Caenorhabditis elegans: one gene and its partner. The gene in region 2 interacts genetically with the main gene of each other region. Each region holds a gene or a part of one and is shown on either strand. Other genes may lie near its edges.

Region 1 (17,709 bases), 8.2 Mb from region 2:
CCACAATTTTTGATCGCCATCAATTTTTCTAGGTCATGGAGGCCGATTTTTCTTTTTTCTAGGCAATTTTTCTAGGCCATCAATCATTTCTCGGCCATAAATTTTTCTAGGTTATAAATTTTTCTAGGCCATAAGTTTTTCTAGGCCATCAATTTTTCTCGGTCATCAATTTTTCTAGGCCATCAATTTTTCTAAGCCAAAAATTTTTCTCAGCCATCAATTTTTCTAGGCCACAAATTTTTTCTCGGTCATCAATTTTTCTCGGCCATAAATTTTTCTAGGCCATCAATTTTTCTAGGCCATCAATTTTTCTAGGCCATCAATTTTTCTAGGCCATCAATTTTTCTGGGCCATCAATTTTTCTGGGTCATCAATGTTTTTTCTAGGTCATCAATGTTTTTTCTAGGCCATCAATGTTTTTAGGTCATCAATGTTTTTTCTAGGCCATCAATGTTTTTAGGTCATCAATGTTTTTAGGTCATCAATTTTTCTAGGCCATCAATTTTTCTAGGCCATCAATGTTTTTTTCTAGGCCATCAATTTTCTCGGCTATAAATTTTTCTCGGCCATAAATTTTTCTCAGCCATAAATTTTTCTAGGCCATCAATTTTTCTAGGCCATCAATTTTTCTGGGCCATCAATTTTTCTGGGTCATCAATGTTTTTTCTAGGTCATCAATGTTTTTTCTAGGCCATCAATGTTTTTAGGTCATCAATGTTTTTAGGTCATCAATTTTTCTAGGCCATCAATTTTTCTGGGTCATCAATGTTTTTTCTAGGTCATCAATGTTTTTTCTAGGCCATCAATGTTTTTAGGTCATCAATGTTTTTAGGTCATCAATTTTTCTAGGCCATCAATTTTTCTGGGTCATCAATGTTTTTTCTAGGTCATCAATGTTTTTTCTAGGCCATCAATGTTTTTAGGTCATCAATGTTTTTAGGCCATCAATTTTTCTAGGCCATCAATTTTTCTAGGCCATCAATGTTTTTTTCTAGGCCATCAATTTTCTCGGCTATAAATTTTTCTCGGCCATAAATTTTTCTCAGCCATAAATTTTTCTAGGTCATCAATTTTTTTAGGCCATCAATGTTTTTCTAGGCCATCAATTTTCTAGGCCATCAATTTTTCTGGGTCAACAATGTTTTTTCTAGGTCATCAATGTTTTTTCTAGGCCATCAATGTTTTTAGGTCATCAATGTTTTTAGGTCATCAATTTTTCTAGGCCATCAATTTTTCTAGGCCATCAATGTTTTTTTCTAGGCCATCAATTTTCTCGGCTATAAATTTTTCTCGACCATAAATTTTTCTCAGCCATAAATTTTTCTAGGTCATCAATTTTTTTAGGCCATCAATGTTTTTCTAGGCCATCAATTTTCTAGGCCATCAATTTTTCTAGGCCATCAATTTTTCTCGGCCATCGTTTTTTCGCGTTCATCAATTTTTCTCGGCCTTTTGTAGCGTAGCCGCCGAAAAAGAAAACTCGGCCACCTGCGAAATTCCATTTTCATGAATAAAAATCGATAAATTCGGTGAAAAATTTTTTCCAATTTTAACCGAAATTCAAAAAAAACTCACTCTTCATGTAGAATCTCCTCGATAATTTCTCCTTCCATAAAAGTTGCCATATTTTTATAGAAAAAAAATCAATAATTTTTTGATTTTCTGTTTCAAAAAAGGAATGATTGTTTCCGATTATCATTGGAAAGAAGACGTCCTCCTTATCAAAAGGGGGCTATCTTTCTTTTTTATTTGATCGATTTGTTACACTCTGTGTTAAAAAAAAACTCACTCTTCAGGTAGAATCTCCTCGATAATTGTCAAACCTATTCATCTTTATTTGGCCCAAAATTAACAAAAAAAAGGTTTTTTTTGTGGAAAATGGGATTTTTTGCGGTGGTTTTTTAATTTTCAGAAAAGAAATTCGAACAAAATAAGGCAAATGTTTTCAGAGCTATAAAAGGCACTTTTGATTTTGGGAGGTGGAAGGGAGGTGGTTGTTCACAACAACAACAACAAGAAAATTTAATAATAATAGTAATAAAGAAAACATTGAATATCACGAGATAATACTCGAAAGGGGTTGGGTTGGTAGGAAGCAAATATAGTGGTTCGAGTTGGGGGAAGGAGAGCAAAAAAAATGAGCAAAAATGACTACCGTAATCCCGGCATAAAGTGTGTGTGTATCCCTTGAAGATTTCTCGGTGGAGCGCGTTTGCTTTAATGGTTTTTTTTTGCAATTTTATAATCGAAATTTTTGAATTTAAGACAAAAAAATCCAAGAGTGCGGTTTTTCAAGAAAAAATTGTGAATTTCACGGAAAATCCTAAAAAAATTTAAAGAAAAACTTGTAATTTTTACCCCAAAATTTCAGATTAATTTGAAAAAATTTCTGGAGATATTTTTTCAGAAAAATTGTTTTTAAAAAGCTGAAATTAAGATTTTTTCAAAATTTCGAGTTTTGAGTCAATTTTTCCCGGCAAAAAAGCAAATTTCAAATTTTTTTGAAAATTCCAAAATGCAAATGCGCTCTATCGAAAAAAAGGGGAGCTAACAGGGAAAATTACACGAAAAAGACAAAAAAAAACGAGTAAAGAACGAAAAAAAAGTGAGCGCATAAAAGAGAAAAAAGAATCCCAAACATGAAAACAAGCCAGAGATTAAAGTACCTCCGTATTTATTCGACCCCCCTGCCGAGACTCAATTTTAGGGGTAAAAAGTGCCAAAATTATCAATTTTTTTCGAAATTTTCACATGAAATTGGTCCCCGCGGGAGGTCCACACAGATCGTAATCTCTGGTGGGATGATGAAGCGCCTTTTAAAAAAATCGGCATTAAGAGTGTAAAGTTAATAAAAAAAATAACGAACGAACGAAAAATGGATACAAGAAATTCGAAAATTTGTGTGAAAATTTTCAGAAAAAGTGGAAGAACAACGACACGTTAAGGAGAAGAAGCATGAATGAATATTGAGCATTTTGTGTAGAGGTGTGTGTGTGTGGCAATTTTCTGAAAAAAAAAACTTGTATTACATTTTTCGTGTTGTGAAATTTAATGTGAAAATAAATTTCTAGTAAATAACTTTACTTTTTTCAATTTCCATTAAAAAATAATTTCCAAAAAAAAGTGGAAATTCTCCGCTTTTTTCGGTTTTTTTAAATCGAATTTTTACAATTTTTTTGAAAAATTAATTTTTACAATTTATTACACATTTTTCTCAAAAATTGAATTTTTTCGGCTTAAAATCGGCAATTCTCACTGATTTCACCCTTTTTTGCATGTTTTTTCTTAAAAAAAATTTACACCTTTTGTATCAATTTTTTTAAAGCAATTTTCATTCCAAAAAGTCATTTCTCAATATTTTTCTACACAAAAATAATGGAATTTCCACAAAAAACTGTGTTTTCATGGGTAGGAAAAAAAAAACAATTTCCACGCTATATTTGTAATTTTTCCGCGCGAAAATTTCAATTTTTAGATCAAAATTTATGCAAAGTTGAGAATTGAATCAGTTTCTGTACAAATTATGAATTTTCGCAGCTTTTTCCATGGAAAAAAGGTGAATTTTGGTGAAAAAATTGATTTTCACAATTGTTTCGTGGAATTTTTACGAAAACTCCAATTTTTGTAAGTTTTTCGGGGAAATTTGAATTTTCCGCACCTTTCCGCCCACACATTTACATCACCCTTTTCGGCAATGGAATAGGTGTTGACGCAGAACTTCCAACATTTGATGGTCTTGTCGTCGTAGTAGATCCATTTCCAGTAGTAGTTTCACGACTTTCACTAGCACGTGGTGTAGATGTATCCATTGCATCATCTTCTGGATATCCACCACTAAATGATTGATATGGCTGTTGAATTCCTGCTCCTCCAGCAGTAGTAGTAGTCATTTGACTACCAATTCCGTATCCAAAAGCCTGTGGGGCTTCACTATTTGGTCCGTGACCGAACAAATTCGAGTGACCACCGTGAAGAATGCTCGCCGTTTCTGGGTCTCCTGGCCTGAAAAAAAATTCCAAATTTTTGGGATTTTTCATATACTTGGAGAAATTTTAAATTTAAGAAAAATTGCATAAAAAAGGCTTTTTTAAATTTTTTTCGGGATTTTTTTTAGTAAATTGGCAATTCAAAAAATTATTGCTAAAAACTGATCTTTTTTTCAAATTTTAAAGAAAATTTTCGGTAAATTTATAGTAATTTTTCTTTAATTGGACTTTCTCTACCGGGCTTGGAATTATTTTTTATTGTACTTTTTTTTTTTGGAGATTGTTAATTTCTTAAATATATTTTCAGATTTTTTGAAGCAGTTTTTTGAAAAAAGTCAATTTTTCTTTTCTTTTTTTTCGACAATTTCCTATAAATTCCAATTTTTCGGAATTTTCTTCAAAAAATTCCAATTTTTTCACAATTTCCTCAAAAGATTCCATTTTTCCTTTTTTTTTGTTGGAATTTTCCATAATTTTAGGGAAATTTCTGAAAGTCTGATACTGATACATTTCCTTAAATTTGCTTTTTTGGAGCTTTAAGAAATTTCCCAAAAAAATGCGGAAATTAAATTTTAAAGAAAATTTTCTCTAAGAATTCGAAGTTTTCAGATTTTTTTGGTAAATTATTCTTTTTTTTTTTTAATCCAATTTTTCTGATTTTATGAGAATTTCTTCGAAAAAATTCAATTTTTAGATTTTTTCGTTGGTAATTCATTTATTTGGAAAAAAAAAACCTTTTTTTTTGCGATTTCTTTAGAAAAAATCCGATTTTTTCAGATTTTCTTAGCATTTCTCGGATAAAAATTCCAATTTTTATGGCGATTTCTTGAATAAAAAATTCCAATTTTCCTTTTTCGGCATTTTCTTCGAAAAATGCCTATTTTTCTGTTCTTTTTTTCATAATTTTTTTGAAATTTTTTTTTGGCAATTTTTTCTAAAAAATACCAATTTAACAGTTTTTAAAGCAAATTTTCTAAGTTTTTCAGTTTTTTTTTTTCGGCGATTTTTTCTAAAAATTCGAATTTTTTCGCAAAAATTTCCCACAAATTCCACGCACTTTCTCGGGCTCTTCGCAGCACCAGCTCTCGACATAGACGAAGCCAAATGTGCCACCGAAATTCCACCATGTCCTCCCTTATTCATCATTTCCAACACAGACGGTGCGACATAGGTGAATCCCACAAACGGATTATCACCATTCAAACTGAAATTCGTCTCACACGGCGAATCGACCGGCGTCATTTTTGTGAAACGCGCGTCAAACAGCGACGTATCCTCGTCGTTCTCTATATTCGGCTTGAATGGGGCTTCAAGCTGCCGTGCGTAGACCAGGTTCCAGTCCGTAGTCTTGAAAAACGCATGACTTTTGATCTCTTCCGCGTCACTGAGACCCGCGCCGAGCCGGGTATCCACATGGCGTTTCAAAAGCTTCTTGATCAAATCTCGAGCCTCATTCGACAAATAGGCCGGCAGAGTAAGCCGTCCCTTCAGGATTTTGTCAATCGTTTTTCGGCGATTTTCAGCGGTAAACGGTGGTCCACCAGTGAGCATGTCAAACATCAGAGCTCCGAGGCTCCACCAATCAACAGCTTTTCCATGTCCACAACGCATCAGAATCTCCGGTGCCATGTATTCGATAGTTCCACAGAATGTGTGAGTCTTCTGATCTCCCTCGATTTCCTCCTTACAAAGACCAAAATCTGTGAGCTTAACGTGTCCATAGGCGTCTAAAAGGATATTCTCTGGCTTCAAATCTCGATAGATGATTCCTTGCTGATGAAGATGCTCCAGAGAGACGACGATTTCCGAGAGATAGAACTTTGCGACGTTCTCCATGAACATTCCTTCTCGCTCCAAATGCATGAATAATTCGCCGCCAGATAGATATTCAAGGATTAAATACAGTTTTCCACCGGTTTGAAATGCGTACAATAAATCACAAATAAACGGAGACTTGACTGCTTCAAGAATGTTTCGTTCGGCTTTCGTGTGAGCTGTATCCTTTTGATTTCTGACAATTGTCGCTTTTTGGAGCACTTTCATCGCGAAGATTTGGCCATTGTCGGAGCCCGTCGTTTTTCGCACTTGGAATACCTGGAATTTGTTGAAAAATTTATAGAATTGTACTAAGAAAATAAGTGTTTTTTTTCAGAAGGTTTTCAGGTGGGTTTTGTATTAAAATTCAATTTTTTCGATTTTATTTTCGTTTTTGCTCAAAAATTTGAAATTTACAACATTTTGTTTTTTAAGGCGATTTTTCTGTTAATTTTTGCAAAAAATTGAAAACTTTCACTTTTTTTGTAGGAATTGGATTTTTTACGATTTTGGAAATTTTTTAATGAAATTTATAAAATTGTAATTACGAAAAAAGTTTTTTTTTTCAATTTTTTGAATTCATTTTTTCGGAGTTTTTTTTTGAAAATTGATGTTTTTTCCCCCGCTTTTTAATGGTAATTTTCGTTTTTCGCATAATTTAAAAGGTTTTTTCAGGGTTTAGGTGGATTTTTTTTTTGGAAATTCAGAATTTTCACATTTTTCGGGCGATTTTGACCATATTTAATATTCTGTCGCACATTTTTTTTGGGAAAAATTGAAGTTTACAGAATTTAAATTTTTTAGGCGAAATTGATTTTTTTTCTGTTGCGATTTTGGGCTTTTTTTGAGTGAAAAATTGAAATTGACATTTTTCCAGGTTTTCCAGAGAAAAGAAAAAAGAAATTTGTAGAATTTTTAATCAAAAAAGGAAGTCAGAGGTTTTAATATCAAAATTGTAATTTTTAGTAATTTCTAGTAAGATTTTTATTTTTTTTAATGTACTTTCTGTGGAAATTATTTTACAGGGTTTTGCAGCAAAATTGTAATTTTTTCGCATTTAAGCTGATTTTTGGAGTTTTTCTACAGGTTTTTATCGAAAATTCAACGTTTCTCATGGTTTTCTCTGTAGAAGTTTCGCAAAAAAGTCCAAATCTGAGTTTTTGCTAATTTTTTTAAAATTTTTTATTTATTCAGCATTTTTAGTGCTAAAAATGGATTTTTTCAGTTTTTTAGTAACTTTATTACAATTTTTAATTTTTTTCTTGAGAAAAACGACAATTTTCGAACCTTTCCATATCCTCCCTTGCCAAGAACTTTCAAAAGCTGAAAATCTTCGGGTCCAACACGAACATTTGGTGGATTAATTGCACTGGCACACAGTTGAATCGATTCCATCATCGGATCCTCCATATACGATGAGCTCGGCGGTGGAGCAGAAATTTGTCCCTGGAAAAATGAGAAAAAAAATTAAAATTTGAGCATAGCTTCCGCATCTCCAGTGGTAAATGTGCTCTATTGGCAAATTGTTGGCCGGAATACGGTATTTATTGCATTTTCAGCCGAGAATACCAGAATTCCAGTCGACAATAAGGATAAAGGCACAGAAACCACAGAAATATAATTTTAAACTATTTTTCGGCAAATTTCAGCGTTTCAGCAACGTTGAAATTGTCAGAAGCCGGCAAAATAGTGAGAAATGGTGAAATTTCACAATTTTTTAGTTTTGAGGTAATAAGCTGGGAAAGTGGCAAAAATTTTGCATTTTCGGGGCGAATTTCAGCGTTTTTGACCGTCAAAAACGGCAAAAATCGTGAATTTTCTTAATATTCGCATGGGAAATAGATTTTTTTAGCTCTCAAACTTGTCAAAAAACCATACATCAGCAACATTGCTGTACATGTGATCGTCCTCCATGATTTCCGTGCAGTTGTCATAGTGATATCTGAAATAAAAATTAAAAACATTTTTTTCTAAGTTTTCAGCCATTTTTCGCTTTTAACACACAGTTTTGAAGAAAAAAACGCTTTCTTTTAGATTTTTTTTTCCAAAAAAAAATTGATGGAAAATTGCGAATTTTCCAATTTTTAAAATTATTCAAGTCAAAATCCGCACAGTTTTCGAATAAAATTGATAAAATTTGAAAAACCCGAATTTTCTGTATTTCGCTTATTTTTCCGCAAATTTTTGAAAAATTCACCAAAAAAATCCACTTTCTAGTCTAAAAAATGTCAATTTTCTGTAGTTTCCTCTCTGTTATCACCTGATTAATGACACAAAGCACTGATCATTGGTGCAATCGGAAAATTGAAAAAAAATGAATTTTTTAAATTAGAAAATGATTTTTAAGATAAAAAATTTTACTGTAAATTTTTTTGAAAAATTGTGGAATGTTCGGAAATTCCGAAAATTATGAAAAAATTTTTTTTGTTAAAGTTAGCATATTTCAGCTCAGAAAACAGTTTTTGACAGTCGAAAATGTCATTTTTCAATCTAAAATTCCAGAAAATCACAATTTTAGTTGGAAAAAATCGAAATTTTCACCAGTTTTCTACAATAATTGTAGAAAATTTGAAAATGCAATTATTTTCTCCAAAAAACTGCAGATTTCGAATTTGTCGGAAAAATCTGAATTTTTTCAAAAAACCGAAAAATTTTGTGGAATATTCGAAATTTTAGCATTTTTTCGATAACAAAAACCTGAAAACCAGTGCAAATTTTAAATTTTTCGTGAAAACACCTTTAAAGTTTTTAACAAGTTTTTACAGAAACTTCAATTTTTATCAATTTTATTATAACTGTACAGATTTTGACTTTATAATACGAAAAATCTGCAATTTTTCATCAATTTTCGCAGAAAATTTAAAGCAAAAAACCGATTTTCCCCACAATTTGTATGTTTTTACCCAAAAAAAAAAACTCACGCATGACGCTGTGGCGATGCCTGTGACTCGTGGCCTTCCAGCTCGAACTCGAACACGTCAGCCATCGTTTTTTTTTCGTGTTTTTGTGGATTTTTTATCACAAAAAAAATTAATTAGGTACTATTATAGATATTTGTATTTTTTGTAATTAATAAGGAAAAAAGCAGTGATAATTTGGAGCAGCACGGAGTGGTGTGTGTTTCCAAAGAGATCAGCCCATCCAAATGTGTACAATATATAAATTGGTTCGTATAACCTGCAAGAAGGTAAAAAATTATTAAGATAATGGGAATATCGATTGATTTTTGTGAAAAAGATAGAGAGATACAGAGATACGATAATTAATAATAGAAATAAACGCACAAAAAAAACACATTTTTCTGTCGATTTCTGGGAATTTTTAAATTTTTGATTTTTTTTTCGTGCATTTTGAAATGTGGAAAATTATATTTAATTTGCAATTAAAAGAAAAATCCTCCTTTTAAATCGATTTTTTTTTTGAAATTTCAGGTTTTTTTTAAATGACAATTAAAAGAAAAAAAAGAGTCTAAAATGGAAATTATTGTATATATTAAAAGTCAATTTTTAAATATAAAATTTATAAAATAATGAATTTTTTCCGAAACAAAAAAACAAGAAAATTCGTAATTTTTTCCGTTTTTCACTGAAAAATTGACTTTTTTCAGTTTCAAAGCACACAAATCGTGGCAAAAACGAGAAAAAACTGTCTCCATTATCACTTTTCAATCAATTTTTTGGCGATAAGAAACTATAAGAAGCCTAAAAGATTTGATTTCGTCGTTGCGAAATTCCAAAGTGTTCTGGTATTTTCTCAAACAACAAAAAAAAGTGTTTTTCGACCCCTCTCCCGGGAGATCAGGTGTTTTTTATGTCATCATTTGTTCAGAAAATAATGATCACATGGGGAATTTGCGGTAATATTTCGTCACTTTTAATAAAAAAATATCAATAATAAATAATTTAAAGTTAAATTAAAACTAGAACATTTATTTTTAGAAGCAATCATTTCAATTTTCAAAACAAAAAAAAATCGATTTTTTTTTTGAAAAATCCCGAAAATTTCCAGTTTTAGCGGAAAAAAATAAGATTTTTATCGCTTTTTTTCTGAAAAATACCAAAAATTTCGGATTTTCCGTTTTTCGATTAACAAATCCGAGAAATCGGAGTTTTTCAGAGCATTTTCTTGATAATTTCACTTTTAACAAATTTTAGAAAAATTATTTCATGTCATTAAAAAAAAAACTCAAAAATCCGTTAAATTTAAACAAAATTGTTATTAAAAATTCGGTTTTTACACCAAAAACGGAATTTTCCTGTATTTTTCAGAGAAAATGTATTTTTTGTTCACTAAAAACGGAAATTTACCGAATTTATTGGTATTTTTTCGAGAAAAAGTCGTCAAATTAAAGATATGACAGGAGAAAAAGAATTTTTTTTTTTCGATATTTTCAAATTTCGCAAAAGAATTTTAAAAGTCAACTATTTAAAATACTCTTATAATTTTAAACCGAAAAGTTTATTTTTTGAAAAAAAGTTTGTTTTAAATTTTTAACTTAAATTGGTCGAAAATCCCCCCACCAGAAAAAAAATTCCAAAAAAAAAAGTTCAAATCAATCGATAGTGCTGATTTGACACAAAGCGTGGAAAGGTGGTCTGGTGTAAGCGAAGAGAAACCTGCGGACGGACACTGGGGAGGTGACACATACACAAGAAATAGTACGTCAATCGACAGAGTGCACCAGAGAACGATCAACCTAACCAGAGAGATGAGAGAGAGAGAAAGAGACATAGAAACGTCCCTTCAACCAAAAAAGTGAGAGAGAGAGAGAAGAGACACAGAGCAAGCGCATCCGTCTCTTTAAATTTGATGGTGTCTATATTGTATTGGGGAGCGTCTTTCTCTCGTTTTTCACTCCCCCCACCCGCGGTTTGCAACAATTCAGAGAGAATTACAAATTCACGCTTTTTCGCATGGTTCGAATTATCAAATTTCGATTGAAATTTTTGAAAAACTTTGGGTTTTCTTTTAAAAATTGCGAGAAAACGAGAAAAATCATCCGATTTGCACTGGAAATTGCCGAATTGCACGGGAAAATTGCCGAATTGCACGGGAAAATTGCCGAATTACACTGGAAAATTGCCGAATTGCACTGGAAAATTGCCGAATTGCAATGGAAAATTTCCGAATTGCACTGGAAAATTGCCAAATTGCACGGGAAAATTGCCGAATTGCACTGGAAAATTGCCAAATTGCACGGGAAAATTGCCGAATTGCACTGGAAATTGCCGAATTGCACGGGAAAATTGCCGAATTACACTGGAAAATTGCCGAATTGCACTGGAAAATTGCCGAATTGCAATGGAAAATTTCCGAATTGCACTGGAAAATTGCCAAATTGCACGGGAAAATTGCCGAATTGCACTGGAAAATTGCCAAATTGCACGGGAAAATTGCCGAATTGCACTGGAAAATTGCCAAATTGCACGGGAAAATTGCCGAATTGCACTGGAAAATTGCCGAATTACACTGGAAAATTGCCGAAATGCAGTGGAAAATTACCGAATTGCACGGGAAAATTGGTGAATTGCACGGGAAAATTCGAGCTTTGCTTGCCGATTTCAAAAAACACGAAAACAAAATACTACCGTACACCCGGTCGTGTCAAGACCAGGGACAGTGATTTTGTCGGTGTTAAAATCGGTTTCTCGGCGGTTTTGAGTCATTTTACAGCTTCAAAAGCCCGTAAAAACGCGAAATTTAGAATAAAGACAAAAACGAGCGAAATTTGCAATGAACAAATTCTCTTCCGGAGTCATCTAGTGAGCCTTCACCTGCTCGCCGAACAGCCGCTCCGGCTAATCAGTGGCTGCAAACCGGGCTTGTCGAAAAAAAGAGAACTTTGCAAAGTGTAAAAAGACCAAACTTTTTATAGGTCACTTGTCGCTGTATCAATTGTTATCGAGCGATCAATAAGCAATTTCAGAAATTGAAAGTTTTTGGCAAAAACTTGGCAAACTCGACAGAAGCCGATGAAAAACCAATTAAGAATAAGCAATTTTGCCGTAAAATGCTTCTTTTCTTGCATTTCCTCCAATTTGCCGGTTTTTTTGGAAATACTAAGCAATCGGTTGGGCAAGCCAATGAAAACCTTAGTTTTCGCCGATTTTCGATGAATTTTCCAGAGGAAAATTATTAACTTCCAAGTTGTCTACCACAAAAAATCGCAAATTTCCACTATTCGAAATTTGTGAGAGACTTCTTATCGGTAATAGTTTTATTGGCATTCACTCCAACTTGATAATCTATTCTCTGTCGCTTGTACTCTGACTAAACGCCCGGCCAACAGTAGCTGCGATAGTTCGGCGAGACTACAAAGGGAGAGAAAGTGAAAGTTGCAGTATTAGTACAACAGAAATTCTCTGAATAGAAAAAGAAGAAAGAGCAACTAGTAAGAGTCCTGAAATGGGAAATGAATCACGAATGCTTGTTTACGCGTGTGAATTCACACGGCTTTCACCTTGACAACGCCTGATGAGGAGGAAATGATGACGGAGCAGATGGGGAAGCAACAAGGAATTTGGATTATTAGGAAGAGTAAAAACTAGGAAAATTGGCAAATTGTACTGGAAAATTGCCGATTTGCACAGAAAATTCTTCCTATTAAAAACGGCGTAAAAAACTAGAAAAATTGCCGAACTGTATAGGAAAATTGCGGAACTGCAGGAAAATTGTAGAATTGCACAGGAAAATTTCCGAATTTCAAATAAAAATTGGTTCTTACAAAAACGGCGTAAAAACTAGGAACATTGCCGAATAGTAGGGAAAATTGCCGATCTGCACGGGAAAATTGCCTAATTTCAGAGGAAAATTGGCAAATTGCACAGAAGAATTGTATCTTTCAAAAACGGCAAAAAACGAGGAAAATTGCCGAATTGAAGAGAAACATTGACGAAAAAACATTGTTTTTGCCGATTTCACGTTAGAAAAACGCAAAAACAAAAACTACCGTACACCCGGTCGAGCCGAGACCATAGACAGTGATTTTGTGTTTTAAAATCGATTTTTCCGAAATTGAAAAATCGCATTTTGGGAATATTTCGGAATTCAGAAAACTAAATTAAAACAGAAAGTCATCGAATTAGTCATTAGTCAAAAAAAATCCGCCACTGGTAACTACTTATATAACTAAAAAGCCTAACTAGCGATCTAATCTGAAAACTTTCACAACTTTCACAGATTCCTATTACTCTTACTTATTTCGAAAAGTGAGAAACGTTGTAAAATAGTTTCGATGGAGAAGAAAAGTAGTGTAAATTCGGTTCGTTAGTTAGTGTCACTTCAAGAAAAAAACCAGTCAATCGGAGGGAGAGAGACGCAGACTGCTGGAGTATAGTACATGAGAAGGACATTTGTGTCACTGATAATTAGAATCTAATCAGTGGAGGGCAGGTTGCAATGATCCAAAATCGATAAAAATCGATTTAATCCAAAATTTTCCAAAAAAAAAAGTGTGTTTTTGTTTTTTTTTTTTGAAATTTTGATATTGAAATTCAAAAATTCGTCGCTTTTATTATTGTTTTGACGTTTTATCAGTGAACATTGAAAATAACTACAATACTACAAATTATCTCGAATTTTACTAATTTCTGGACATTTTTTAGTGTTTAATCTAATTTTCAAAAATATTTTTGTTAATGTAGATTAAAAAAAGAAGTAATTTTCCACTTTTCTTGCTAAAAAATAGCAAAAAAATGTGAAAACATTGAAAAATAGCCAAAAATTGAGTTTTTTTAAAAGCAATTTTTGAATTTAAACAGTTAGAAACTAGGGAATTGCAATTTTTTAGTATTTAATCAAATTTTTGCAGATATTTTTGTTAATGTAGACAAAAAAAGTAATCTTCCACTTTTTTTCGCTAAAAAATTAGCAAAAAAATTTGACAACCTTGGAAAATAGTCAAAAATTGAGTTTTTCGAATCAATTTTTGAATTTAAACATTTAAAACTTGCGTTTCAACTAGATTTTAGCTTAAAATTATTTAGAATTGATATTTTAAAGTCAAGTTTTGACTTTAAAATATAAGTTTTTCCTAATTTCAAGTTAAAATCTGATTTTTTGGCAAGTTTTAATCATTTTAACTCGAAAAATTGAGTCAAAAACCTCTGTTTTTGGCAATTTTTCAAGGTTTTCAATTTTTTGCTAATTTTTTAAAGCTTTTTTTCTCCAAAAATTCATTTTTCGAGCTCAAAACGGCGAATTTCAGCGAAAAAACGATGAAAATAACACATCGAAATCCAGTTCTCTTTGGCATATTTGTTGTTGTTGGCTGGTGGCAGAGGAGAAGGAAAAGTCAACTGAAAGAGACCGAAAAAAACAAAAACAATTGCTTCGCGACACGAGGAAAAACAGAAAACAGAACGAAAAAAAAAGTAAAAACGAGGCGAAAAATGTTCGAAAATAAACAAATAACGCTGGCTTTTTTCTTTTTTGTTGCCAAAATGTGTGGAAACTAATCGAATTAAAAGTGAAAATGCTCAAAATCTCAGTGAAAAACATGAAAATAGAGTGATTTTCACTAGAAAATCGGCTAAAAATCGAATTTTTAGCTTGCAAAAGCCCGTTTTTTGTAGGGAATTTTATGGTTTTTCGCTCTGAAATCGGTTTTTTCAATGAAAATTCGATTTTCTACTGACAAAAAGGTAATTTGAACGATTTTTAGATTAAAATCTGCATTTTTATGTGGATTTTTAGTTAAATTTCGATTTTGGTATACATTTTACGAGTTTCAGGCAAATTTCCGCTCTGAAATCGATTTTTTTGATCAGAAAATCATTGATTTTATTATTTTTTGGCCTAAAAATCCGCATTTTGAAGTTTATTTTCAGTGCAAATTTAGTTTTGGTGAATTTTTTCCTAAAAAAAACGACTAAACGTGGGATTTTTTAGCTAAAAATCCCTATTTTTGTCGCAAAAAATCGAAATTCGCAGTTACAGAGTCAAATGACGAAGATTTTCAGCTAAAAAATGATTAAAAAGCACTAAAAGCATCAAGCGTGGGCGAGCACAATTTTCAATTAAAAAAAAACACACACAAACATAGATATACAAGTACCGTGCGAAACGGCTACTGTAGCTCAAGCCAGCAAAAGGGGAAAAATCGATGAAAAATGTATTAAAGGGACAGAAAACTACGAGACAGAATCTTTTTTGAGGCGAAAAAAATAAAAAAAAATCAAAAAAGAAAGTGGAAAAAAAAACAAGAAACGAGGGAGATGGTGAACAAATTGGAATGTCAAATTATTCACAGTGGATTTTTTAAAAGAAACTGATTTCAAAAATTAGGGCTTCCATGGTAGGCAGGCGCGGTTTCAGACGTCTGCCTGAAACCTGTCCGCCTCACTTTTGCCTATTCTCTGCGTTTTGACGTGAATTTTTGGCGGGAGGCAGGCGGAGGTCGCCTACATGAAAGCCCAAGAAAAATACGAGAAAAATAGGAAAAATAAAGCTGTTGGAAGTAGAAGAAGAAGAAAAGGGGCAGGGAAACATTGAGAATTGGTATATACACTCAGCTGATTGGTAGTGTGGTAAAAGTGGGTTCCAAGGGGGCAGACCGTATTAAATAAGAGTTGGCTACGACGTTTTTCGTTTCTTAAAACACTATTGGAAATAGAACAGAAAGAAAATTAATGGGGGAAAAAGAGGCGACTATAATACAAAAACTAAAGAGTGGGAGAAAATTTTGGAACTTTGGTCTCGGGAGCTTGAAAAATCAAGATTTTTCTACAAAAAATCCAAAAAAATCGAGATTTTTCAATTTTGAAGCACGACCAATCAGGGCTTAGCTCCGCCCACTTTTCAACCAATCACAACCCCATGGCGCGGTTTTTGCTGTCTTTTTGTGTTTAATCGATTTTTTTTCGGTTTTTTTCCCCGAATTTTGCAACGGAAAACAACAATTTTTGTCTTTATTCCTGAAAAAAGATGATGCAAAACGATAAGTTTATGTCGTTTTGCTTAATTTTTTTCAGAAATAGAGACAAAAAAGGCTATATTTTGGGAAAAATGGTAGATTTCTATTTAAAAATAGTTAAAAACACTTTTTTTAAAAGAATATAATCGAGCGAAATCAAGAAATTTTGAATTAAAAATAGGAAAAACCGTACCGCAGTATGATTGGTTCAATAGTGGGCGGAGCTAATCGCTGATTAGTCAGGGCATTTTTTTCGATTTTTTTCAACAAAAAACCCCACAAAACAAGAAAAACAGTTAGACAGGCTTGTAGAGAAGAGTGGTGACGAACTTCTTGCGATAGCGTTGCGTCGATGAGAGCACCATAACGCTGTCCTTGATGGAGAGCGCGTACATGTGGTTGAGCATCACATGATTCGGCTCCGGCAGCACATTCGGATCGCATGACTCGGGCGTCTCCTTGTTGAGAAGCACCTGCATGAGTTGTGGTGGAATTACTGGTGGTCCGGCTGCCTTCCGAAGCATATCCATTGATGGGATCTCTTGGGTGAAGGAGCGCAGTTTTTCGAGCTCTCTGAAAAAGTTTTTTTTAGTTTTTTAGTGAACATTTCTGAAGTTTTCTCACCTGTCATTCGGAGTATCATGATTCTTGGTGCTCTCCGACTCGCCACGGAGCACCTCCCCGGCTGTAGATGACTGGAAGTCTTCATCCAGCGCTTCGAAAACTGCAAAATCCGAGTCTTGAATATTGATCATATTGTTCTCATTTCCATGAACGTCCTGTGCCTTTCCCTGATTATCGTCGACGACCCACGAGCCGTCCACTTGGAATTTGTACTCGTATTGTCCGGGTTGCAGGTCGATGATTGTCGAAAAGTCGTTTGTCGACTTTACCATCGGGATCCGCGTCTGCCAGTTATCCCATGATCCAACGATATGGACGACACGTGGCTGTGCGTTTTGTGTGAAACTCCAGCGGAATACCACTGGGCATTCGCCGGATTTGTCCTCATTTCCGTCCTGAAAATATTGAAAAATAATTTAAAAAAGGAATTTTTGGGATTTTTTGTGAAAATCTCACATCAAAAATCATCGGCGGTCCTCCATCCGGGTTCGGGAGTACTTGTCCGGCGATTTTTGCCGTTTCGCTCATCATCCGATGCCTTCGGAGGCCCGCCTTGTCGTTTGGGCCTCCATAGCGGGCGTCGGGCCCTCCAGACTGATTGTTGCCCATTTTCTTCTGGAATTTTCGCAATAAATCGATGAAATAAGGTGGAAAGAAGATTGAGAATTGAAAAAATGTGAGAAATCTCGGAAAAACCGACGAAAATTGATAAAAGTGACGGGATTAAAAATAAATAAACAGCTGCAAAATGCACATGATTCGGGTGCGGCGCGGAAATGTGGGCGGGGCGGAGGCAGGCAATGCCGCCGCACACTTTTTTCCATATTTATTTTTTGGATTTATTTATTTAATTTTTGCCGTTTTATCTATTTTTAAACAGTTTTTTTTCAGATTTGCAAGGAAAATGTCACTGGAAGAGCCTCCGGAAAAAATTAGAAAAATCGATACGATGAGGTAAGCCGTAAAAACCATTTTTGAAATAAAAATCCTCAAAAATCCTCAAAAACAACAACAAAATTCCAGAATTAAAGTCTACCCAATTCTGGATTCAACTCTCACTTGCGACACAATCCCATCGACTTCCTTCCAAGCTTTACGACTTGAAAACAAGAAAATTATTGGGACAGTAGGGAAACTTACCCTTTCCCCAAAATTAGTCGAAATTCTATATTTTCAGATTATCAGGCGACTTCCAGAACTTCCAGAAGAGCTTTCACACTTGAAAAGAGTCGGAAAAGACGGAAGTGTGCTGATAGCAGAGTCGGAGGAAGTCGCAAAGCTTATCGTGGGAAAGTTGGAGGACGCAGAAGCTCGGGTGGAAGATTTAGTGGTAGAAAATCAAAAAAAATCTGAAAATTCCTAATTTTTCAA
Region 2 (14,446 bases):
TGATGTAGATCAAAAAATCACACTAAAAATATGAATAAAAAGGTTAAGTTTAGCTGAATTTAGGCTGAATTTAGCAAAAATCTCTTTATGTGTACATTTTCTGTAGATAGGTGCAAAAACTTTGCCTATCGACGGAAATTTATTGCATATTTACAACAAAAAAAAACCAAAATGAGCTTTTTCTAGCCGCTTTAATACTGAACATTTGAAAAATTGATGTTTTTTTAGACCAGTTACTCGATATATAATTAAAGGTGGGGTACCGAAATTTGAAACTTTGCTTTTTTAGACCCAAAATGTTCCAAAACTACCGAATTTCGTAATGAGACTTCACAATAAATTTCCACAAATTTGTTATGGCCGGTCAACATTTCGAAAAAAAATGAGGCAAATTTTGCTAAAATCTGAAATTTTTTCTTTGTCACAGCCGCTGGATTTTAGTTTTTCTGAAATTATCAAAATTATCACCCTTTAATCCTTATTTTGGTAATTTATCTCGCGGAAATTCGTTGATTGAGGCAACTTTTAGGCCGATAGGCATCCAATAATGATCATTATTGGATGCCTATCGGCCTAAAAGTTGCCTCAATCAACGAATTTTGGCGAGATAAATCCCCAACAGAAGGATCAAACGGTGATAATTTCGGAAAAACTAAAATCCAACGGCTGTGACTAAGAAAAGTGTGCAAAACTTCAGATTTTAGCAAAATTTAGCTCCTTTTTTTTCGAAATGTTGACCTGCCATAAAAAATTTTTGGAAATTTTTTGTGTAGTCTCATTATCAAATTCGGTGGTTTTGGACCAGTTTTAGTATATTTAACTAAAATACTACTATAAAAAACAGTTTGGAGTTTTTTTTTTAAACAGAGTTTTTCAGAGTATGAAATTCGGTTTTTGGGTTCAATTTTTATTACGGATATAAAAATATTATATTTTTCGAAAATTGCTTCATTCGATTAATATATATTTTTAACGTAAAAACGTTCACATCTTCAGGATAATTAATTTATATGAAGGCTAATGAATTTTAAACAATTATGACATTTTCCAACAAAAAAAAATCAGTAAAAATAACTATTTTTGGTGGTTTTTTTTTTGTTGCAAAATTTCGAAAACTTGTTTATCGCAAACTTTACTTCTCATTTCATTTCCCCGTCATTCAGCTGCTTTCTGTTTTCGACACTTTTTTTTGTTTTATCGATTTGGTCTCTGGTCACTCGATTTTATGGGAATTTTCGTGGGAAACTTTTTTTTGGATAATTTTGTAGTTTGGTAGGAAAAAATCGAAATTTTAAATTTTAAATTTTAAATTTTAAAAATATTTTTTGCTTAATTTTTTTTTGTTGGAAAAAATCGATTTTTAACATGAAAAAGGTATATTTAAAATAAAAATTATATTTTTCTTAATTTTAATTTTTAAAATAAACGTTTTGTAGAAAATAAGCAAAGCAATTTTAATTTAAAATCAAAATTTTCAAATTTATAATTCATTTTTTGGCAAATTTGACATTTTTCTACATATTTTTCTCCACAAAAAGGTCAAAAATCATTAAAAATGAAGCAGAAAAAAAAACGAGCAAAATCCAAAAAAAATGTGTTTGTGTAAATGTGTTTGTGTAAATGTGTTTAAAAATGTGTAAAATGTGGACGCTAAATGGATGAAAAAGAAAAAAAAATAAAGGGAGAAAAAAAAGAGAAAAATGGTCATGTTTGAAGACGAGACAACAACAATAACAAAGTTTCAGAGAGAACATTTTTGAGTTTTTCTGGGAAAATTTGCTCAAAATTGTGAGATTTTGAAATATTTGCATAGCAGTTGGTCTTAAAAAACTGCAAAAAATTGGAATTTCGCTTCAAAAAACCTCGAAAAATCTCGATTTTTCAATTTCAGCTAAATTCGAACTGCGACCAATCAGCGATTCGCCCCGCCCACTTTTGAACCAATCAGAAGGAGTGGGCGGAGTTCAGAGGCGCTGATTGGTCGTGCAGTTCTCATTTTGGAGGGAATTTAGACAAAATTGAAATAACGAGGTTTTTTCTAAAATTGATTGGTTTTAAAAAAAAACAATTAAATTTGATTGGTTCAAAAGTGGGCGGGGCGAATCGCTGATTGGTCGTGCAGTTCGAATTTAGCCGAAATTGAAAAAATGAAGTTTAAAAATTTTTTTCTTGACCATTTTTTTTTCTTGAATTAATTCAAGAAAAATCTCGAATTTTCAATTTCGGCTAAATTCGCTCAAAACTGAAAAATCCCCGACCAATCAGCGCCTCTGAACTCCGCCCACCCCATCTGATTGGTTCAAAAGTGGGCGGGGCGAAGCGCTGATTGGTCGCAGTTCGAATTTAGCCAAAATTGAAATTTTTTTGGCTTTTTGAATAATTTTTTCGTATTTCTTTAGTGGTTTTTCGGAATTTTAGACAATTTTGGATGCTTTTTTGGAGCGAAATTTTTTTTTTTTTAATATTTGAAAAAATTTAGGAATTTTCCCCGAAAAAAATCGATACCCCGAGAGAAAATAGCTGAAAATTGAAAAAAAAAGTTTTTTTGGAAAATGCCGGAAAATTTTACAAATTATCATCGACTTTCAGCCTTTTTTCCGAGTTACAGCGAATTTTTAATTTTTTAAATCGGAAAATCGAAATTAGGAAATTTTCATTTAAAAATTGTATAATTTTTCCGCTTTTGCATTAATTTTTTTTTTGAAAATTCAATTTTCCATCCCTACAAACTATTTAAATCGATTGCAAAAAAAAATACATTTTCCCAACGAATATTTCCAAAAAGATTACAGGAAAATTGATAAAAACCCAACAGTGTCACGCCAGTAGTTCCAACAAAAATTGGTGATAATATTTTAAAAAAATCACATGGCGGGGGGGGGGGGGCAATAGAGTGGAAAACAGAAAGAAAAAAAAGAAATAAATAATAGAGAGAAAAAACTTTAAAAGACTACGAGAGATTTAGAGATGAAAAGAAGAAATTTCGGATGGAGAGAGAGAGAGAGAGGAGCAGAGAAAAAGAGCAAAAAATGATTGACAAAAACAACCATCGTTTATGTGTGTGTATGAACGGTTGTGCGTGGGGAATATATAAATATAGTTATAAAAATTTGAAAAAAAAACCAAGTGTGGGTGGTTTTGTGGGAATACATTATAGGGTGGTGGGCGGCAAATGACTTTTTTCGGCAAACCGGCAAACCGGCAAAAGTTCAATTTTGATCGGCGAAATTGTACGCATCCTATATGAAGGTCCTAATTCTATTGTGAGGAAGTAAGCAACTTCTATGACAATTTAAGAGAAAAAATCTGATATCCGGCAAATCGGCAAAACGGCAAGCTGTCGGAAATGAAAATTTTCGACAAACGGCAAATCGGAAAGTTGCCGGAACTAAAAATTTCCGGCGAATCAGCAATTTGCCGGATTTAAACATTTTCGGCAAACGGCAAATCGGAAAGTTACAGGAATAGAAAATTCAGGCAAACTGGCAAATTGCCGGAATTGAAATTTTCGGCAAACCGACAAATCGGAAAATTGCAAAAATTGAAATTTCCGACAAATCGGCAAAATGCCAGGATTGAAATTTCCGGCAAATCGGCAAATTGCCGGAACTGAAAATTTCCGGCAAATCGGAAAATTGACGGAATTGAAATTTTCGGCAAACCGGCAATTTGCAAAAATTAAAATTTCCGGCAAATCGACAAATCGGAAAATTGCCAAAATTAAAATTTTCGGCAAACCGGCAAACCGGAAAATTGCCGGAATTGAAATTTTATGAAAAGCGGAAAATTACCGGCATTTAAAATTTCCGACAAATCGGCAATCCGGCAATTTGGTTGAACTGTAAATTTCCGACAAATCGGAAAATTGCCGGAATTGAAAATTTGTCACCAATTTGCCGGAACTGAAAATTTCCGGCAAATCGGCAAACTGCCGGAATTGAAAATTTCCGGCAAATCGGAAAACTGTCGGAATTGAAAATTTCCGGCAAATTGAAAAATTGCCGGAACTGAAATTTTCGGCAAACCGGCAATTCGCCGAAAATAAACATTTTGAAATTTTCCGGCAAATCTATTTTGCAGATTTGCCGAATTTGCGGACAGAAAAATTTGCCGACCGGCAATTGCCCAAAAATCCCTCTAAAATTTCCGGCAAAATGATATCCGGCAAATTGGCAAACCGGCAATTTGATTTGCCTTCAAAATCAAATTAAAAACTAAATTTCAACAAACCCACGCGAAATTAATCAATATTCCGTATCAAATCACCAGGAAAACCTAAATCAGAGAATTAAACTCTTTTTGCATTAATTTTGGCGCAAAACAAACTAAAAATGTAAATTAAATTTTTTGGAAAGCCCCAAAAAATGAGAAAAACGATTATTATGCAATGCAGCACACATCACTAAAAACTCGCCGATTTTCGAAGAGCGCACACACACGAGGAAGAGGGACGAGAGAGTACACCTGGTAAAGAGTACGCAGACATTCAGGGAATAGTAGTGGAGAGACGCAGGGACACACGCAGGGGGAATGGAGAATACGAAAACAACGACGACGAAATAAGTTGATGGGTATTCTGAATCGAATGATGATGATGACGAAGGAGAAAAAGACAATGATCTTCAATGTCTTAAAATGAACACAGCCAACTGGAAGTGCAAATTTAGTTCACCAAGTTTAATACAGTGCGTCCAACTTCTATAGCAGATCAAGCCGAAATGAGACACTCTGGCACCACGTGGTAAAGTTGCAAAATGTATTAAAATACATGTTTTATGTATTTTAATACATTAATTTTTCAGCAATTTCAAATTATCCAGCACTACTTGAATAGCCCCATAAATTTTTAGAATGCGTATTGCACAATATATTTGACGCGCAAAATATATCGTAGCGCGAAAACTACAGTAACTCTTTAAAATACTACTGTAGTGCTTATGTCAATTTACGGGCTCTTTTTAATTTATTTCAAAATCGAGAGCCCGGTAAATCGACACAAGCATTACTGTAATCTTCCAAAGAATTACTGTAGTTTTCGCATCGAGATATCTTGCGCGTCAAATATGTTGTGTAATACGCATTCTAGGAATTTTTTGTTCCCGTAATAGTTATTTCTAATAAGAATATGCCCTAAAATTCCCGGAAATTTTAAATCGCATTTCGAATTTTGACAATTTACGAATAAAAAGAGGGGCATTGAATTTATCTTTTTGCGAAATCATGCGAAATCAGTTGAGAACTCTGCGCCTCTTCTCCTGCATTTTTTGTAGATCTACGTAGATCAAACCGAAATGAGGACACTACATGAGCTATGATGCATTTTGCAGCCTCCGCTATTCTTAAATTGGCAAATTTACCGAGTTTGCCGAGCACGGCAAATTTCAAACATGTGGGTTTGCCGAATATGCCGCCTGGTTGAGATCATGAACATTGCCGAGAAATAACGAGAGCCCAGAAGTGGGTGGCGCTTACATAAGCTCCGCCCATTTAAAGGCTAAAAATTCTCATTTTACTTTGAGCTTTTCCTCAATTCTTCATGATTTTCAGTGCCATTTTTGAGCCAAAAAATCTACAGAAAAAGTGCAAAATGATGGTGCCCGGTGCCTCTACACCAAGAGAGACCACACGTGCAGAAAACCGAGAGAGAGAGAGAGAGAGAGAGAGAGAGAGAGAGAGAGAGTAGAGACACAGCGTATTTCAACTGGAAACTGACACCGAGATGCACCAAAGGACACCGAAATGGAGGTCAGCTGAGACGAAGAGGAGGAGGACGAGGCGGGAAAAAAACCAACTGAGAGGAATACGAAATGTGTGTGTGTGTGTGTGATGTGATGTGATGAACATGTTTCTCAACGTAAACAACGAGAATCTGATAGATTGAACAAAAATAGGAAAAAAAAAAGAATGGTGTTAGGTTTCGCGAGCGCGCGGGAAATTCGAATTTTTGGAAAAAAAAAATGTTTCTCTCAAATTTCTTAGAATTTTCAAATTTTCAGGAATTTTTGAAACTGGGCACTTTTCGATAGTTTTTTAAAAAATTTTCAGATTAGGCAGTATTTGCCGGAGTTGGTAGAAAGATTTCTGGCAAAGTCGGCAATTTGCTGGAATTGAAATTTCCGGCAAAATCGGCAATTTGCCATTTTTCAAATTTTCGGAAAATTTGGCATTTGCCCAAATTGAAAAATTTTAAATTTTCGGCAAATCGGAAAATTGCCGGAATTGAAAATTTCCAGAAAATCGGCAAATTGCAGAAATTGAAAATTTCCGGCAAATCGGCAAATTGCGGGAATTGAAAATTTCCAGCAAATCGGCAATTTGCCGGAATTGAAAATTTCTGGCAAATCGGCAATTTGCCGGAATTAAAAATTTCCAGAAAATCGGCAAATTGCCGGAATTGAAAATTTCCAGAAAATCGGCAAATTGTCGGAATTGAAATTTCCGGCAAACTGGCAATTTCCCGAAACTGAAAATTTCCGGCAAACAGCAAAGTCGGCAATTTGCGGTTTTCCAAATTTTTGGCAAATTCTGCAAACCGGCAACTAGTCGATTTGCCGGAAAAACGGCAACTGCCGAAAGTTTCGGTAAATTGTGGGTTTGCGTAATTTAAAAAATCCCCTCAAAAAATCCGGCGAATTGATATCCGGCAAAATTGCCGGAATTGAAAATTTCCGGCAAATCGGCAAATTGCCGGAATTGAAAATTTCCAGCAAATCGGCAATTTGCCGGAATTGAAAATTTCCAGAAAATCGGCAATTTGCCAAAAATCGGCGTTCAAAAACTGACAAAAAATTCAGAATAAATTGCGATTTTTTCAAAGAAAAACCAAATTTTGACCAATAAAAAAATTCTGAACACTGTCAATTCCATATCATGTAATAAAACAACGAAAAAAAATGCATCACATGACCTAATCTTTGTCATTTTTCATGAAATCGTTGATTTTTGGTCATTTTAGAGGTGTTTTTGGTCGAAAAAATCAAAATTTTTGCCAGATTTTGAATAGATTTCATGAAAAAAAACGATTTTTATAGAGGATTTGGTGTCAAAAAATTGTGGAAATTATTAGATTTGGGGAATAAAAATCCAATTTTTTTCAGATAAAAAATTAAAATCTAAAGCGAAAAAATGGCCAAAAAATGGCCCAAAAAATCTACATTTTTGCCCATTTTTCTGGAGTTTTCCCAGAATTTTTTCGGTTTTTGGGGTTAAATTTCCGGGAAAACATAATTTTTTTAATTTTTTAATTATATTTTCGGAATTTTACCGCCAAAAACTCATTTTTAATGGCAAAAAAACATAGAAAAATGGTTCAATCAATTGAAAATTTCAATTTTGTCCAGAATTCAATTTATATTTAATTAATATCCAATTTTTCACATTTTGGTAGTTTATTTACCATTTTTTTTTTGATTTTGGCCACAAAATGTACCTAAATTAACAAAAAAAAGTTGGTAAAACTGGAGATTTTAGTGAAATCTGGGGGATTTTCCGGGATTTTTTTTTCGGTTTTTGGGGTTAAAATTCCGGAAAAAACTCAATTTTTTCAGTTTTTTATCGAATTTTCGGCATTTTAACGTCGAAAAACTCAATTTTAATGGCAAAAAAACATAGAAAAAAGAACGAAGGGTCAATTCAAATGTTTTCGCGTTTCGTTTTTTGATCTTTGAGTTGTTGTTGTTGTACCCCATCCGCCGCCGTTTTTTTTTTCAAATTTATTTTTTTCCCGCCAAAAAAACCTAAAAATCAATAATTTAAACTATAAAATAGCAAATTATTACGATTTTTAATTGAAAAATTGAGCAAAAAATTGACATTTTTTGTAAAATAAACACAAAAAAACCAATTCCCACGTGGCACAGATTGTTTGCTCATCGTTTGTCGGTGTACTTTTTGGAAAATATTTATTTTTAAGGGGGTATTTCTGATTGAAAGAGCGAAAAAAAGCGAAAAATGAGTGAAAATTTGGAAGAAATCGAAGAAAATTGGGCTAAAATTCGATTTTTTTCGCAAAAATTTGATTTTTGAGCCAATTTTTTGTAATTTTTTGTATTTTTTTTCACCAAATTTTGCTGAATTTTACTTGAAATTTTAGAATTTTGGATTATAAAATCCAAAATTTTTCGATATTTTTTGCAATTTACTGGTCAAAATTGCGGAAAAATGGTTCAGAAATTGGCGAAAATGGGAATTTTCATCAATTTTAAAGCGATTTTTGGTTATTTTTTGAGATTTTCCCTAAAAATCTCCAAAATTCTGCCTAAAACATCAGAAAATTCGTTATTTTTATTGCTAAATTGCTGCAAATGGCCCAGAGATTGACCGAAGTGTGATTTTTTAAATAAATTTTTATCAATTTTTATCAATTTTAAAGCGAAAAAACCAATTTTCACATTAATTTTGTTGGTTTTTAACGAAATTTTTGGGATTTTCTCGATTTTTTGTGTGATTTCGCTAAAAATTGTGTGTATTTTTAAAACAAAATCGCTTAAAATCGATATTTTCAAGTAATTTTTTCAATTTTTAATTGCTTTTTTGAGCAAATTTTGTGGTTTTGTCTGTTGAAATCTTTTAAAAACCTTATTTTTCTCGATTTTTTCCTAGATTTTCCACTTTTTTTCACGAAAAACTTCGAATATCCGTTATTTTTTCACAAAGGCAGCCTAAAAGTGCATTGAAAAGACCTTGAAAATGGTCAAAAATGACGTGAAAAGATCCAATTGGCACCGTGCCAAGACTATTGCAACAAATTCGGCGTAATTTGAATTGGATAAATGGAATTTTACGGGCGGAAATTGGGAAAAACTGGAAAATGACGGGAAAATCGTTCTGTGAGCGAAGAATCAGATGGTTTAGCAGATTTTTAAGGTTAAATTTGATAATTTAGACAAAAAAAAAGACTAAAATCGGCTGAGAAATGAAGAAAATAGCAAAAAATCGGTGAAAAATCAAAAAACCCGCCTGAATCTCCCTATTTTTACGATTTTTGTGGGAATTTTAGTGGAAAAAAAGAGAAAATTACTTACTTTTGTCGAAAAAATGATAAAAATCCGTGAAAAATAGCTGGAATATTGAGAAAAATCGAAGAAAAATGTGAAAAACGAAATTCAAAAATCAAAAACGAAAGCGCGGGTACGCAAACACCGCTGCACACATTCGCAGGTACAGTACCCCGGGAAAATGTTTAAAATCAGTTAAAATGTCGATTTAAAGCTTTTTTTCAATGGAAAAATACAGTTTCTACATTTCATAAATTGAAAACTTGAATTTTCAGTTCAAAACATTGCAAAAATGCACAAAAAACATCTCTAAAAATGGTGAAAACTCTAAATTGACAATGGAGCGCACTTGCTACTACCAATATTTTTTGCAAAAAAAGCGACATTTGACCGGTTTGAACTCTTTTGAACCCCACGAAATTAGGGAAAAACACCAGGAAAACAAGGCCGAAAGAAGTAAACAACATTTCCGCCATGAAAAAGATAGAAAAAGATGAAATCTGATGGTCGTTTATCATCTTTTAATGCACTTTTACTATTTCTACACAGATTTCTATAGAGAGGAGGCAATGTCATTGATAGATATCCTTATCAATTAATCCGCCGATATTATTTGGGAACATTCAAGAAACAAAGAAACTAGGAAAAATAGAGAGAAAAACAAGAATTAGAAGGTTTGGTAAAAAATTTAAAATTCGAGAATGACGTCACTACATAGCTCCTTCGTTTCTTTGCATAACTCTAATTTTTGATCAGAAAAGTGTCAGAAAAGTTTCGCGCCATTTGCGTAATTATTTTTTTTTTCTCAAAATAGCAGGAAAAAGGAGGGAAATTCGACTTTTTCTGCCAGAGGGGAAGAGATTCGAGATTCAGCTTCAATTTCCAGGTCGTATATCTAGGCACGTATCTCAGCGGGAGAAATAGTTACAAAAATGTTGTCAATGAAGTACTTGTAGAGCTCAAAATTTCCTACAATTCACTAGTGGAAAATTTTTTGCTAACACTCTTCCTCAATGAGATAAACGGCCGTAAATGAGGCTCTGCCCTTCGCGCGGTTTCAAACTCAGCACAGCTTGGCGCTTATTTCTCTGCGAGGGAGAAAGTTACAAAAAATTTGTTAACTAGCAATTTGTAGAGCTTCATATTTGCCACAATTCACTAGTGAAAAATTTTTTGCTAGCATCTTTCCTCAATGAGATAAACGGTCGTAAGTAAGGCTCTGCCGCACTGACCTTTCGCACTTTGCACAGCTTGGCGCTCATATCTCTGCGGGGAAAAAAGTTGCCAAAAAGTTGTCAACTAACAACTTGTAGAGCTTAAAATTTTCTACAGATTACTAGTTTGGAATTATTTGCTAGCACCTTTCCTCAATGAGATAAACGGTCGTAAGTAAGGCTCTGCCGCACTAAGCTCTCGCACTCACCACACTTAGACGCGTGTACCTCAGCGAAGAGGAAAGATAATAAAAAGTTGTTAACTAACAACTTGTAGAGCTTAAAATTTGCTATATTTTTGTGTGAAAACAGTTTTTCATAACTCTGCTCCACACAGATATACACACATTTAAAATTAGATTCACAAAGTCTTGCAAACCTAATTTAGCACTCCTAAACTGTAAATCAGCAATTTTTTTTGTTAAAATTTCCACTAAAAAGTTATAACAATATGTTATTCAAAAGAAAGAACGCAAAATAAACTATAGTATAAAAACTAGACAAACATATTTTGATGATATTTTAAAGTCAGAAAAATAGATGACAAAATGGCATCTGGATTTGCTCGGTGAGTCAAAGTGTACTTTAAAAGTTCAACTATACGATTTTCAGGAAATTATGATAAAAACAAGAGCTTTATTTACAGATAATTATTAAAAGTTAGAAAAAAATATATTCAAGGAAACTGAGAATCATGTAGAAGTACCCATACAAGGGAGTAATGAAAATTTGAAAATTGAAAATTTGTTGAACATTGTCAAAATCTACCGCCAAACTTGAAAACTACCGTAGTCGAGATGGTAATCAGGTAGCAAATGACTACTGTAGACAGTCCCAGGTAATAGATGACGTCAGGCATACAGAACTCTGTTTGTGACGTGGCACGGGCTTCTTGCGGGGAACTTTGTTTTTCCACACGGAATCTACCGTTCACGTAGATGATGTCGGTACGGGTGTTGTTGTTATCTGGAAGTTTAATATTGTGTCGATTTACGAGATTTTGTCGATTTACGAGATTTTGTCGATTTACGAGTTTGGGTCGATTTACGACATTGTGTCGATTTACGAAAGTATGTCGATTTACGAGAGTTTGTCGATTTACGACATTGTGTCGATTTACGAAATTATGTCGATTTACGAGAGTTTGTCGATTTACGACTTTGTGTCGATTTACGAGAGTTTGTCGATTTACTAGGACTTTTCGATTTACGAGATTTTGTCAATTTACTAGAACGTGTCGATTTACGAAATTGTGTCGAGTTCCGAGATTTTGTAGATTTACGAGATTTTGTCAAGTTACTAGAATGTGTCGATTAACGAGATTTTGTCGATTTACGAAAGTATGTCGATTTACGAAATTATGTCGATTTACGAGAGTTTGTCGATTTACGACTTTGTGTCGATTTACGAGATTTTGTCGATTTACGAAATTATGTCGATTTACGAGATTTGGTTGATTTACGACATTGTGTCGATTTACGAAAGTATGTCGATTTACGACTTTGTGTCGATTTACGAGAGTTTGTCGATTTACGACTTTGTGTCGATTTACGAGAGTTTGTCGATTTACTAGCACTTGTCGATTTACGAGATTTTGTCAATTTACTAGAACGTGTCGATTTACGAAATTGTGTCGAGTTACGAGATTTTGTAGATTTACGAGAATTTGTAGATTTACGAGATTTTGTAGATTTACGAGATTTTGTCAAGTTACTAGAATGTGTCGATTTACGCGATTTTGTCAAAATTTCCGGATTTTAGTTGGGAAAATCTTGACTTTTTTTGAAAATAGAAAATTTTGCGGAAAAATTTGAAAAATTTCATTCAGAAAATTCGAAAAAAACTGGTTTTTTTTCTGAAATTATTCAAAAATTTTGAATTTTCGAGAAAAAAAAGTATCTCTTACTTTTCCCTACAAGTTGTCGCCGACTTCTCTGACTCGATTCAAATGAGACAAATCCGCAATTGTTGCTCGCCGAGCACAGGTCCTCTTCCTCGCCATTTATGATTTCTAGGTGCTCGGTTCTGAAAATTAATGGGGATTAAGGGGAACAGAATTTGGGAGAAAAATAATAATATTCAATAAAAAGTTTAAAAAAAATTGTTTAGTTTGAAAAAAAAATTTTTTTTCAAAAAGCTTTAAACTTCAAAAGTTTCATATTTCATTCTAAAACTCAATTTCCGCTCTGAAAAATTCAAATTCCCACCAAAAAACCCACTTTTTCACACAAGTCCTCACTGCACATCTGATAAAAACCTCATATTCCTCTGGAAATTTGAAAGCCAGCGAAGTCGCATAAATTTTCGAGAAATCCTGTGAATACGTGGTGTCAGAAATAAGCTCCTCGTCTAAAGAGCATCCATTTTCCAGAATTTTCATCCCTTTTCCGTTTTCTGACTCGGCAGAGCACCTCTCGAGTTGAATTCCGAATATTCCTGGAATAATTCGGGATTTCGGGTTTTTAAAAATAATTTTTTCTTGTTCAGGTTGTTGAGAGCTTCAACATGACCCCAATATTGGCTAGTTTCCGCCCAGTTTGGGTCCCGCCACGAAATTCCCCGGGATACTGTAGTTGTTCGTGGTGGGACCCAATGTTGGCGGAACCTGGGCATGTTTATACGCATTTTGAAGCTCTCGATGTGGTTAACATGAGGAAATACAAAAATTTGGAAAGTCGACGAGGAAATGTGAAATTTAGAAAAATTTCAACAAAAAAAAATTCAAAAAATGTTAAAAATTTTTTTTTGAATTTTGTAAATTATTTTTTTGCCTAAAAAACTTTTTTTTCTCAAACTCTTTAAAATTACCGTGTTCCTGTTCCAATTTCCACTCGAACATTATAGGATCGCCAACATTCAACACTTTCTGCTCATTGGCTTCAAAATTCTGAGTTTTCTGAAATTTTTTCTAGTTGAAGTTTCAAATCTGTCTGAAATTACTCACCGTTGTCAAAGATTCCTCTCCAGCTGGCAAAATGTGCATTGAAATTTTTGGCAGTTGAAAATTTCCGAGAATCAGCTCGTGCTCTTGGATTAGGCTGAAAAAATTCAGATTTTTTTGCTGAAATTTTGAAAAATATTTTCAAAATCGAGAGTCTAACTAAATTTTGAGAAATTTTAACAGTTTCAGCACAACGAGACCTTTAAAATGACCCCCATCATGTCTGTGTTCCGCCTATTTTGGGTCCCACCACGAAATCCCCCGGGGTACTGTAGTTTTCGTGGTGGGACCCAAATTTCCTAAAAACATGATGGATGTTATTTTAAAATTTTCGGTGAACCAAATTCTAGTGCTTCATCATTTTTACAAAAACAAAAATTAAATTTCAAAAAATGTCAAAAAAAAAAATCTTAAAATTTAAATGTTTCTTAAAATTCAAACATTTTGTATTTAATAACACAAAATTCAAAATGAGCTCATTGAGACCTTTCTAATGACCCCCATCATGCCTATATTCCGCTGACTTTGAGAAATTGGGTCCCACCACGAAAACACAAGGGGGTACTGTAGTTTTCGTGGTGGGACCCGAAATAGACAAAACCTAGGCATGATGGGGGTCATTTGAAAGCTCTCGGTGAGCTCAACATGAAAATTACAATGAGAATACAAAAAAACAATTTTAACTTAACAAAACTTTAAAAAAAAACATTGTTTTGTATTTTAAGAGTTGATGCAAAAATTCTCACTTCTCAATTCCAATTTCCGTTTTTCGCTTAAAATCTTCAAATTCACAATGTGCACGAAAAGCTCGATCTGAGGGTGTCACCAGTGTTGGATGGAAGGCCACAATCACTTGTCCCGACAAAAGCCACATTTTTGAATTCGGCTTTGGCCACGCTCGGAAACCACATTTTTCCAGCTCTTGAGCATTTATTTTGAGCTCCAGAGCTGTGGAATTCTGGGTAATTTGGTAGGATTTGGAGCAGGACGGAGTGCCGCGAGACCCTTTTACGTAGATCTGAAATGAATTTTGGAAATAAAGCGGAAAAATGTACTTTCTGTTATAAACAGCATTTTGTAAACTTTTACAGAAATTTTTTTCCTTTTTGGGATTTTTGGAATTTTTAAAAATAATTTTTTAAATAAGTTAAAATTTTGTGATATCTGGAAAAAGTGTAATGTTTGGAATGTCTAGAATTTTATAAAATTTGGGTCCCGTCACGAAAACCGCCCGGGGTACTGTAGTTTTCGTGGTGGGACCCGAAATAGGCGGAACCAACCTAGGCATAATGGGA

The links.
Region 1: of daf-2 (region 2) and rsks-1, changing one enhances a phenotype caused by changing the other (phenotypic enhancement), as found in Caenorhabditis elegans (one study listed by BioGRID).

Annotation. Positions count from the first base shown.
Region 1 is NC_003281.10:11,236,389-11,254,097, reverse strand, and holds rsks-1 (Ribosomal protein S6 kinase beta), read right to left. Parts: upstream 8,979-17,709; 5' UTR 8,788-8,978; coding exon 8,723-8,787; intron 7,744-8,722; coding exon 7,680-7,743; intron 7,248-7,679; coding exon 7,089-7,247; intron 6,081-7,088; coding exon 5,044-6,080; intron 4,003-5,043; coding exon 3,675-4,002; 3' UTR 3,659-3,674; intron 3,007-3,658; 3' UTR 1,817-3,006; downstream 1-1,816. Other genes in the region: Y47D3A.32 (uncharacterized protein), read right to left, coding at 1,576-1,625; aakb-2 (Association with the SNF1 complex (ASC) domain-containing protein), read right to left, coding at 16,011-16,287, 16,339-16,733, 16,795-16,947; Y47D3A.14 (CMP/dCMP-type deaminase domain-containing protein), read left to right, coding at 17,243-17,292, 17,362-17,464, 17,516-17,668.
Region 2 is NC_003281.10:3,031,759-3,046,204, forward strand, and holds the start of daf-2 (Insulin-like receptor subunit beta), read right to left. Parts: upstream 9,089-14,446; 5' UTR 9,024-9,088; intron 5,786-9,023; exon of another isoform or gene 3,783-5,785; intron 1-3,782. Other genes in the region: cutl-25 (ZP domain-containing protein), read right to left, coding at 10,968-11,176, 12,117-12,235, 12,430-12,646, 13,019-13,106, 13,155-13,248, 13,898-14,169. UniProt on the Caenorhabditis elegans protein: Insulin receptor-like tyrosine kinase which regulates metabolism, controls longevity and prevents developmental arrest at the dauer stage.